Linked DNA regions of Oryza sativa Japonica Group. The protein of the gene in region 3 interacts with the protein of the main gene of each other region in a pairwise test. Links are inferred from orthologs where the notes say so. Each region holds a gene or a part of one and is shown on either strand. Other genes may lie near its edges.

Region 1 (2,864 bases), on a different chromosome or scaffold from region 3:
ATAGACTGTGTTCGAGATAAGCGACCCCACGCAATATGATACTTCTAGGAGGTGGATTTTTTGTCAAATTTTTAACGACCTTTTAGGGCCTGTTTTGGATGGAGGATTTTCAAATCAAAGAATTGAAAACTATAGTTTTTTTTTCTTTCCTACCGTGGTGTTCGGAATATATGAATGGCATAAAAATTCTTTCGGAAACTTTTCCTGAGTTTCTCTATTCTTTACTCCTTCAGTCGAAATCAAGGGAAAAATAAGGCCAAAGCTAAGGGAAACTTTCCCTGTGAAGTGAGCAACAATGAGGTGATTTTTAACCATAAAAAGGGAATTTATTACCTTGTTAGTTAAGCAACAAGAGTCTTATTTCATAAAATTCATGCGTTCCAAACACCTATACATGTTTTTTTTAAAAATTCTTCTATTTTACACGTGCATTTCTATGTTTATTGTTCTATATCTATATTTCTGCGTTTTGTTTTTTCTTAATCCAAACAAGGTTTTAAATGGTATGCAAAAACAAGCTCTGATCTCCCCTACTTCTAGAATAGTTTTTTGCACTTAACAGATCAAGACTTTGTTGCAGATTCATGAAACGCATGCAGATTCATTACCCATCATTCTTAAACAAAAAACTCGTTACCCATCAGATGATCAGACTACATGAACTTGGAAGAATTAAAGCTTTTGCATCACTGAAATGACCCATCTGCATGCAGATAGGCTAGAAATTTGCTCAAAGCTTGTGCATGACTACCGATGAGATTTCAAATGTCCCAAATAGGGATGGGCATGCACCCGCCAAACTGTTCGACCTCATGCAGATCGTCCATCTGGAACCCGCCATTGGCGCCCAGCGCGCCGCCGTGGCCTCCTGCGATGTCGCTCATGTCGGCAGCCAGCGCGTCCCAGTCGAACTCGCCGCTGCCGCCGAAGCCAAACGCGTCCGCCAGCTCGCCGTCGTCCCCGTGGACGGCGCCGTTCTTGCCTGTCGCGCCGTCGTCGTCGGCCTTGAGCACGCCTATCTGCTGCAAGAACTCCTTGAGGTCGAGCTGGGGCTTGTCGGCGCCGAAGCCCACGACGGCGGCGTCGTCGTCGCACGGCGCGCTCTCCATCGCCGCCGTGGCCGCCATCGCTTGCTCCAGCGCCTGGAAGCACGACATGGGCGGAGGCAGAGCCGCGGAGCCGACGCTGTTGGTGACGGTGGAGCAGGGCGACGAGGTGGGGAGAGGCGGCGGAGGCGGGTTGGCGCGCGTCGGCGTACGCGGCGGCGGCTTGGTCGGCGACGACGACGAGTTCTTGAGCTCCTGCAGCCTCTGGTGTATGACGTGGACGTTGTGCTGCGCGTTGAGGTTGAGGAGGCCGTAGGCGGGGACGGCGGCGGCGCCCCCCCTTGCGGCGGCGGCGGCGGCGGAGGCCGGGAGCCACCTGAGGCGCTGGTGCGCGGCGGCGGCGGAGGCGGCGCGGAGGTGGGGCAGGTTGAGGAAGGCGTCGGGGCCGTAGAGCCTCCGCGCGGCCTCGTCGTAGGCGAGCGCCGCCTCCTCGGCGGTGGCGAAGGAGCCGAGCCAGAGGCGCGTCCGCTTGTTGGGCTCGCGGATCTCGGCTACCCACTTCCCCCACGTCCGCTGCCGCACGCCGCGGTACTCGCACGCCGCGTTCTGCGGCCCGCCCTTCCCCCTCGTCGGCCCCTTCTTCCACGCCCGCTTCCTCCCGTAGCTCTCCATACGGCGATCGATCGCGCGCGCGCGCGAGACGCAGCCGGCGTACGTGAAATCACAGCGAAACGCACGTAATCTCACCTGGTTTCGCACGTACGCAAACACATATAGCTAGCTAGGCGCGGGCGGTGTTTTTGGGTTGGAGTTTGGAGTTTGAACGACTCGTCGTCGAAAGATGGGGGGAGGCGCGAGGTTTTTGAAGTGGGAGCGCGAGGGGTGGAGTGAAGTGGGAGTGAGGGGAGTGTGACTGAGTAGGAGGAGACGGGAGAGGGGGAGCGCGGCGCGGGATAAGTAGTGTGATCCGATGGGGTTGGGTGTTAAATGTTGTCACGGCCGGGCCGGAAGGGGAGAATGCATGGTGGTGGCGTTGTGTTGGCACGGTGGTGTCGCGCTTTCTGAGGACCTGTGAGCTTAGCGCGCATGTGACCGTTGGGGGCATCTCTAGGATGGATGATGTGCTGCAGTCTCTGCAGTGCATTGTTGCAAACGATTCTTTCTGGTTTAGGTTATTGTAATTATAAGAGGCTTCGATGGCAAATTTAATAACAAGATAACCTATGGATTTTGTAGGTTCAACGTTTGGAAATTGGAATTTGAGTAGTAGATATATCTCGCTAGTCATAATCTTCGTTATCTCTAAAAAAATCCTTGTAAACTTGAACAAGTTTACATCAGATTGTATCTGCAGAATTAATTAGCATATTGGGCACTAATCCTAGAGAACTACTTTGCTCTTTGCATACTTGATATATAATATACTACAGATGGTATCTGTAGTATTAGCATACTGGGCACTACCGATCTGTGCATGCACCGAGAGAACGTACGTACGGATAGGCGGATAGCATGGCGTGCATGTTGATGCTCCATGTACACAGTTTACTACCATATTACCATGGTATCAATGCGAGGTATAAAGATCCACCTCACAGCATTTTTGGCTCTCACGAGCGCGTCCACTTCACATGCTTCTCGTCCACGTCGGACAGGGTGCATGTGCCCATGTTTCCATGAACGCATGATTCTCGGCTCTCTAGCCCTCTTGCCTCCTGCAATCTGAGCTTATCGGTCTCCTTGTCTCTCTGACCAACGGTGAGCAATTCAGGATAGGATACCACCACAAATCTATGAAAAATGTACTGTACTGTATAT
Region 2 (3,757 bases), on a different chromosome or scaffold from region 3:
TTTTCATTCTCATATAGGGCTGAATTATGTTTTTAGCATTCTTCCCTTTGAGATGTACTACGGCTTACCCATAGCAGCCATGAAATTGAGCACTCCAACTAAGCAGAAGAACTAGGGAAATCTCTCTCTCTCTCTCTCTCTCTCTCTCTCTCTCTCAAAAAAAAAAGAATAAGAAGAATAAAAACTAGGGAAATACTCCCTCCGTTTCAGTTTATAAAACAACTTTGGTCAAAGTCAAACTGTTTCAAGTTTAAATAAGTTTATAGACAAATATAGTAATGTTTATAATACTAAATTAGTTTCATCAAATCAATAATTGAATATATTTTTAGAATAAATTTGTCTTTGGTTCAAAATGTTACTACCTTTTTCTATAAATTTGGTCAAACTTAAAACAGTTTGACTTTGACTAAAGTTAAAACGTCTTATAACCTGAAACGGAGGAAGTACAAGTTTACACTATCCTGTATGTAGATGTGCCAATGAGGGGTGTTTCCTTCTATCTTTTTTGAACAAATCTATGGGCACCATCTCGGTCCCTCGACCCGTTATGTTTTTGGCATCAAATGAACTAAAAATAGCTTGATCTTATTTCCATGCAATGGATCAAACTTGGGGCAAGTTTGGACAATGACGCCACATAAAACCCTCTTTTAGCAAGGTGGGGCTACAAATAAAACACACCATCAATCTATAAACAAGTATCTCAGGGGAAAGGTCTCACATTTGAAACTAATATTGCAACTCTCGACTTTCCAAAAAGGAAAATCATTAACCATTGGCATATACCCTTGAAAAAGCTCCAGTTGCCATCTTACTTGCCTATGCAACTGCCCAACTACAAGAATTATAGTACAAGCACTCTCTAAGAATACCACAAGTTAGCTTCTGAAGAGCATAGATATTCATGTCATGACAAACATGTCTACTGTACAACAAAAAAGAAAAATCGGCTAAGTAGATCACTCCACAATTGTGCGAGTAGATACTAGCGGTTACATATACACGAACGTATATATAAACATAGTTAAAATTGCTATATATTACCATAAAGCTATCGAGATGCGCTTAATTCCTTATCCATGGAGACTAGGGTGTGTGCCTCCGGTTTTTATTTTTTTTCCCAAAGGCACGTACACGTGTGTGTGTTCGAGTTTCATCGCGATTCGATCGTTGTCTACTGTTTTTTAATAATACAACAGATGTCCTAATCATCCACGCATGCATAACCCACAATCCCCCAGCATCATCCATCCCTTCCCAATTCCCAAATCACCACCTCTCTTCATCACTTGGGCTCCAGCCTCCTGCAGCCCCAGCCAAGCTAAGGTAAGCTCCATCTGCTTCTGATACACACACTCACACACAAAGCAGCAGCCAGCATCAGCAGCAGCAGTGTGAAGCAAAAATCTCTATCTCTCTCTCTCCTCACTAAAGCACAAATCCTACTCTTATCATCCTGTCTTCTTGCCTCCCTTCTGCCTCCTGCTCACCAAGCTTCCCACACAAACCCAACAAGAGAGTGAGAGAGGAGCAAAAGCTTTGGCTGGCCGTCCCCCCTGTTAAAATGTGATGTCCAATCCATGGGATTGCGTCTAGTTTAGTCCCCCACTCCTCTCCTGGGTCAGTCCCTCCCTGGCCACCACCTCTTCTTCTTGCAGCCTCCTCCTCCTCCGGGGCCTTCTTCTTGTTGATTCTTTTGATGGTTTTTGTGTTTCTTGTCGACCTAGTTATGGGATCCGGCGAGGTGGATGGACGCGCATTGGAGCAGCAACAGTAGCGGCGGGGAAGAAGGCGGCGGGGGATCTGGATCCGAGGCACCACCACCACCGGGTCACCCACGGCGGCGACGGCGGCGGCGTAGGAGGAGGAGGAAGCGGGGGACAGGAGGAGGCAGATGAGCAGCAGCAGCAGCAGCACGACCACCACCGGCTTCTCCAGCTCCACCACCACCAGGGTGTGCAGCAGGACCAAGAACCGCCGCCTGTTCCCGTCTTCCACCTCCAGCCGGCGTCCGTGAGGCAGCTGTCGGGCTCCTCCGCCGAGTATGCCCTTCTCTCGCCCATGGGCGACGCCGGCGGCCACTCCCACCACCACCAACACGGCTTCCAGCCTCAGCTCCTCTCCTTCGGTGGCGTCGGCCACCACCACCACCTGCATCAGTTCACGGCGCAGCCACAGCCCCCCGCCGCGTCCCACACTCGGGGTCGTGGAGGTGGAGGTGAGATTGTCCCCGCGACGACAACTCCACGGTCGAGGGGCGGAGGCGGCGGCGGCGGCGGGGAGATCGTGGCGGTGCAGGGCGGGCACATTGTGCGGTCGACAGGGCGGAAGGACCGGCACAGCAAGGTCTGCACGGCGCGCGGGCCGCGCGACCGCCGCGTGCGGCTGTCGGCGCACACCGCCATCCAGTTCTACGACGTGCAGGACCGGCTGGGCTACGACCGCCCGAGCAAGGCGGTGGACTGGCTCATCAAGAACGCCAAGGACGCCATCGACAAGCTCGACGTGCTGCCGGCGTGGCAGCCCACTGCCGGCGGCGCAGGCGCGGGCAATGCCGCCGCGCCGCCGTCCTCCTCGACCCACCCCGACTCCGCCGAGAACTCCGACGACCAGGCGCAGGCCATCACCGTCGCGCACACCGCCTTCGACTTCGCCGGCGGGGGCAGCGGCGGGACCAGCTTCCTCCCGCCGTCGCTCGACTCGGACGCCATAGCCGACACGATCAAGTCCTTCTTCCCCATGGGTGGCACCGCAGGCGGGGAGGCATCGTCGTCCACCACGGCGGCGCAGTCGTCGGCCATGGGTTTCCAGAGCTACACGCCTGACCTCCTGTCCCGCACCGGCAGCCAGAGCCAGGAGCTCCGGCTGTCGCTGCAGTCCTTACCAGACCCCATGTTCCACCACCAGCAACATCGCCATGGCGGCGGCGGCGGCGGCGGCAATGGCACCACGCAGCAGGCGCTCTTCTCCGGCGCCGCCAATTACTCGTTCGGCGGCGGAGCCATGTGGGCCACCGAGCAGCAGGCGCAGAACCAGCGCATGCTGCCGTGGAACGTGCCCGACCCCGGCGGCGGCGGCGGCGCCGCCTACCTGTTCAACGTGTCGCAGCAAGCGGCGCATATGCAGGCGGCGGCTGCGGCGCTGGGTGGCCACCAGAGCCAGTTCTTCTTCCAGAGGGGACCCCTTCAGTCCAGTAACCAGCCCTCCGAGCGAGGATGGCCGGAGACCGTCGAAGCCGACAACCAGATGAGCCACCACCAAGGAGGGCTGAGCCCCTCCGTGTCGGCGGCCATCGGTTTTGCCGCTCCCGGCATCGGCTTCTCCGGCTTCCGCCTCCCCGCGAGGATACAGGGCGACGAGGAGCACAACGGCGGCGGCGGCGGCAATGGCGACAAGCCGCCGCCGCCGTCGTCTGTCTCCTCGGCTTCTCACCACTGACCGCAGCAGTGGCGAGCAGATGACTTCACCACCACCAATCCACCATGAGCAAACACCACACCATGTACCAGACTATCAGCTAGCTCCTCCACTTCCATCACGGTGAGAAAAAAAAACCGAGAATTCTCATGGCTAACCTGCATTAGTTCAGAATTTTTCTCGTGTTAGTTAGCTGATCAATCTTGTGCTGCTGGTTTTGGTGTTCTTGACATGCAGGAATTGTCGATTGCATTCGGGAGGAGCAAAGTTTGGAGGTAGCACAAGTGCACTACTACTGATGCTACTACATATCGGTTGGTTGGTTGGTTGGTTTTCC
Region 3 (3,395 bases):
TAGCGTAATAAATTAACAAAGACACATGCCGTTTTCCTTAATTTTTGGATAACAATTTTGCTTAATAAAACGTCGACAAGTTTTCCGTTAGAAAAAAACTTGATTTTTCCATCGTCTGATTTGCATTAAGATTTGTGCTAGCATGGATATTCCATAAAAAAAGGACTACTAAACCCGATGGATAATACATGCACCTTTTATTTCCCATTAAGTAAAAAAGGGGAGGCGGGGGCATCAATAATCTCCAAGTACGCTAACTAGTATTTCAATTAGTTTTTAATGTATGATATTGTTTATTTTGAGATATATGTTTGATCATTCATATTATTAAAAAACACAACTATTATTTATTTTATTTTTTCCATTGAAGGTACACGCATAACTTGTGTTTTTCGTATCTACACATAAAGATAAATGGTCAAACATGTATGTCCAAAAATCAACGACGCCATATTTAAAAAAATGGAGGGAGTATGAAATAATGTTATGAGATTGACGTGACTTGTTGATATATGAACATGTACTTAATTGTTTGTGTCTTTGACCTTTTAAAAATAGCAATCACCCTTACATGCCTGGATGATGTCATACACATGTGAATATATGATAAGTACGTATATCAATAACCGGTGGTGAAATGCATGCGCGTGTGTAAGCCCTAATTAGCATATCCAAACCTTGCATATATAGTTGCGTGATCTCTACACCATTCATGCATGTATATGAGCAACTGCTAATTCCAGTTTGGAACTACTGATTATATTCTTCCGATCAAGCACCCGGCCACAACACAATGCATTATATGTTCAAAGCAATCCAAACACACGATCGACCAACTACAACACAATGCACACGCAAAGACGAGGGAATTTAATTTCCACAATCAACATCAACCCGGCCAATCCATGATGATACCATGCGTGACAGACGATCGACGGAGTATACATATATGCACATGCAGCTAATTAAGCTTTTCCCTGGGGATGCAACGGGAAGAGCTCCAGGGTCACTTCGTCGGTGCAGCCGCCGGCCGCCTCCGTCGCCACCACCGCGTCTCCATCGCCGGCGCCGTCACCCCACGCCTTGCACCGCCGCTTGCAGCTCGCCAATCCATCTTCCACGTCCTTCTCCTTCTTCTCCGGTGCCTCCTATATACACGCAAAAAATGTCTATTAGCCGGGCAGAAATGTCTACAGATTCATGGATTATTAAAATTCGGTTAATTTGCTGATTAATTACTTTGGTTTCGTTAGCGGTAGCGGGCAGCAAGGAAGGGTCGAGCGTGCTGAGGGTGAGGAGGGCGGCGCGCTTCTGCTTCTGGCGCTCGCGGGCCTTGTGATTCTGGAACCAGTAGAAGACGTTCTTGCCCTCGATCCGGCCGTACTTGCCGAGCTCCTCCGTGATCCGCTCGATCTGGACGGAGTTCGGCGTCCGCATCCCGCCGCGGTACAGCATCTCCAGCACCTTTATCTGCTCCGCCGACGGGTTCCACCTCGTCGTCCCCGCCGCCGGCACCTGCACCTGCAAACCAAATATATACACGATCATGAACCTGATCGATCGATCGATCAAGAACAAGTAGGGTTTGATGTGTCTAACAGTGTAGTTGAGCAGCTTGGAAGCGTTTCTGGCGCGAGGGACGACGAAGTCCGGCGGCGCGATCATCTTCCTCGGCTCCGGCAGCGAGATCTTGGGCGCGAGCGGGCGGAGGCATTTGAAGGAGAAAGCAGGGAAGGCGGCCGATCCGGGGATCGACGACGGGGAGATGGATGGTGGCGCCGGAGACGACGAGGACGACGACGCTTTGTGATCCAGGTAGGCCACATGCAGATGGTGAAGCCTCATTGTGTAATGTCGCAGTTTAACTCAGAGTTAGCTCTAGCTTTGTATGGGAATTGGAAGCAGAGATAGATTAGATTGTTGTAGCTAGGGCTAAGCGAGCAAGCGTGATCTTGGCGTGTTTTTATACGGGGAGAAGGCGATAAAGCTAGGCAGCGAGGGTTTGAGTGTGTTTTGTGTGAGATATCGAGGTAACAGTCGAGAATTAAAGGCGTGCCCTTTCATGGGGGCGACAGGGAATGTGTAGATTGGTGATGAAAGGCGTCAGCATTCGTAAAATCGTAATCATCAAATTCACGAAAAAGCGGGAGCTGTAATAAAGGTAAAAATTCTCCCTCGCATGGAGCTAAAGCTCCCCTGTTTCACCTTTCCTGTCGAAATTCATGACGACGACTGACAAGAAATATATGGGAAAACTAATCTTCCTTTACAATGCCTTTTAAAGCAAGCGTGAATGTGTGATTTGTGAATACCAATCGAATTCCAGTTACTTGTACATTGACCTATACCTTTTTTTAGAGAGAAAAATGATGTTTTAGCTAATTAATACAGTTTTTCCTCGTAAAGATGTGAGCTTGCTAAAGAGTAGCTAGCTACAGTACGAGTTTTGTTCTCAGTTTTGTATATTTAGTTTACTGCTAATTGTCTGCTTTAACGACTTGACCTGATCAATTAATTCAGCAAGCTTGCTGATCCCCCTCTGTTGCGATCAAGATCTGACCAGGTATTTGGCCATCATAAATGTAGTTACATATTTGCTCCAGAATATAAAAAAAAAATATCTTTGTTATATGTACTATATATGGTCTAGTATATATGAAGCTCGATCTGATCGACTCATATAGTCATATCTCAAATGAAATATTTATGAACTTTGTAGTGTGTTAAAATTACAGTCTTCGTCTGACAAGTAATTACCCTGCTTACTTTGCTGTCTGCTAGTCTGAATGCATTGCATATTGTGTGCTATTCTCTCTATAACTAGCTAGCTAGTCACAACTCCATCTATATATACCTGCATATATGATTGCGCATGATCATATAGACCTAGCTAGAAGCAAAGCAAAGCAAAACACAGAAAAGTATATTCCTGTCCGCAATCTCTAAGATCGATTTGCCATATATATTTGCTCTATATATTTAGCTAGGTTAGCCGCAGGCAGAGAGGGGGCTATCGATGAGGAGACCATCAAAAACCTCCATATCTGCCATCGATGAAGCGGCAACATGCTAGTATATATGATTGGCAAAGCATGCAAACGAAAGCGAGACCCAGAATGATTGATGCTGAGGTTGACCTTGGAGTTAGCGCCTCCATCTATCGTTGAACTCGCAACAGGATACTGCACATCAACAGAGCCATGGCTCCAGACCTCCAGTACGCACTGAAAAAATATTCCTCCACACTGCATATGTAGCAGCAGTACCCTGTAATCTCTATGAACACATTACATGTAGGAGTACACAACATGGCTTTCCTGAAACCCTGATAACCCCCGGCAATATATCAGCAAAAGCAGCAGTACTACCTGCAGGTAAGTAAAGCCCATCATCCC

What was found.
Region 1: the proteins of WUSCHEL-related homeobox 4 (region 3) and dehydration-responsive element-binding protein 2E interact in binary tests that used the Arabidopsis thaliana proteins (3 or more experiments, as listed by UniProt). The link is inferred for Oryza sativa Japonica Group from reciprocal best matches to the Arabidopsis thaliana genes WOX4 and AT3G57600.
Region 2: the proteins of WUSCHEL-related homeobox 4 (region 3) and transcription factor PCF5 interact in binary tests that used the Arabidopsis thaliana proteins (3 or more experiments, as listed by UniProt). The link is inferred for Oryza sativa Japonica Group from reciprocal best matches to the Arabidopsis thaliana genes WOX4 and TCP4.

What each region holds. Positions count from the first base shown.
Region 1 is NC_089037.1:3,994,752-3,997,615, reverse strand, and holds dehydration-responsive element-binding protein 2E, read right to left. Parts: upstream 1,864-2,864; 5' UTR 1,719-1,863; coding exon 762-1,718; 3' UTR 615-761; downstream 1-614. UniProt on the Arabidopsis thaliana protein: Transcriptional activator that binds specifically to the DNA sequence 5'-[AG]CCGAC-3'. Binding to the C-repeat/DRE element mediates high salinity-inducible transcription.
Region 2 is NC_089035.1:6,231,714-6,235,470, reverse strand, and holds the start of transcription factor PCF5, read left to right. Parts: upstream 1-1,289; 5' UTR 1,290-1,623; intron 1,624-1,630; exon of another isoform or gene 1,631-1,730; 5' UTR 1,731-2,064; coding exon 2,065-3,441; 3' UTR 3,442-3,543; intron 3,544-3,657; 3' UTR 3,658-3,757. UniProt on the Arabidopsis thaliana protein: Transcription factor playing a pivotal role in the control of morphogenesis of shoot organs by negatively regulating the expression of boundary-specific genes such as CUC genes, probably through the induction of miRNA (e.g. miR164).
Region 3 is NC_089038.1:33,610,140-33,613,534, forward strand, and holds WUSCHEL-related homeobox 4, read right to left. Parts: upstream 2,006-3,395; 5' UTR 1,846-2,005; coding exon 1,600-1,845; intron 1,522-1,599; coding exon 1,240-1,521; intron 1,149-1,239; coding exon 966-1,148; 3' UTR 653-965; downstream 1-652. UniProt on the Arabidopsis thaliana protein: Promotes differentiation and/or maintenance of the vascular procambium, the initial cells of the developing vasculature.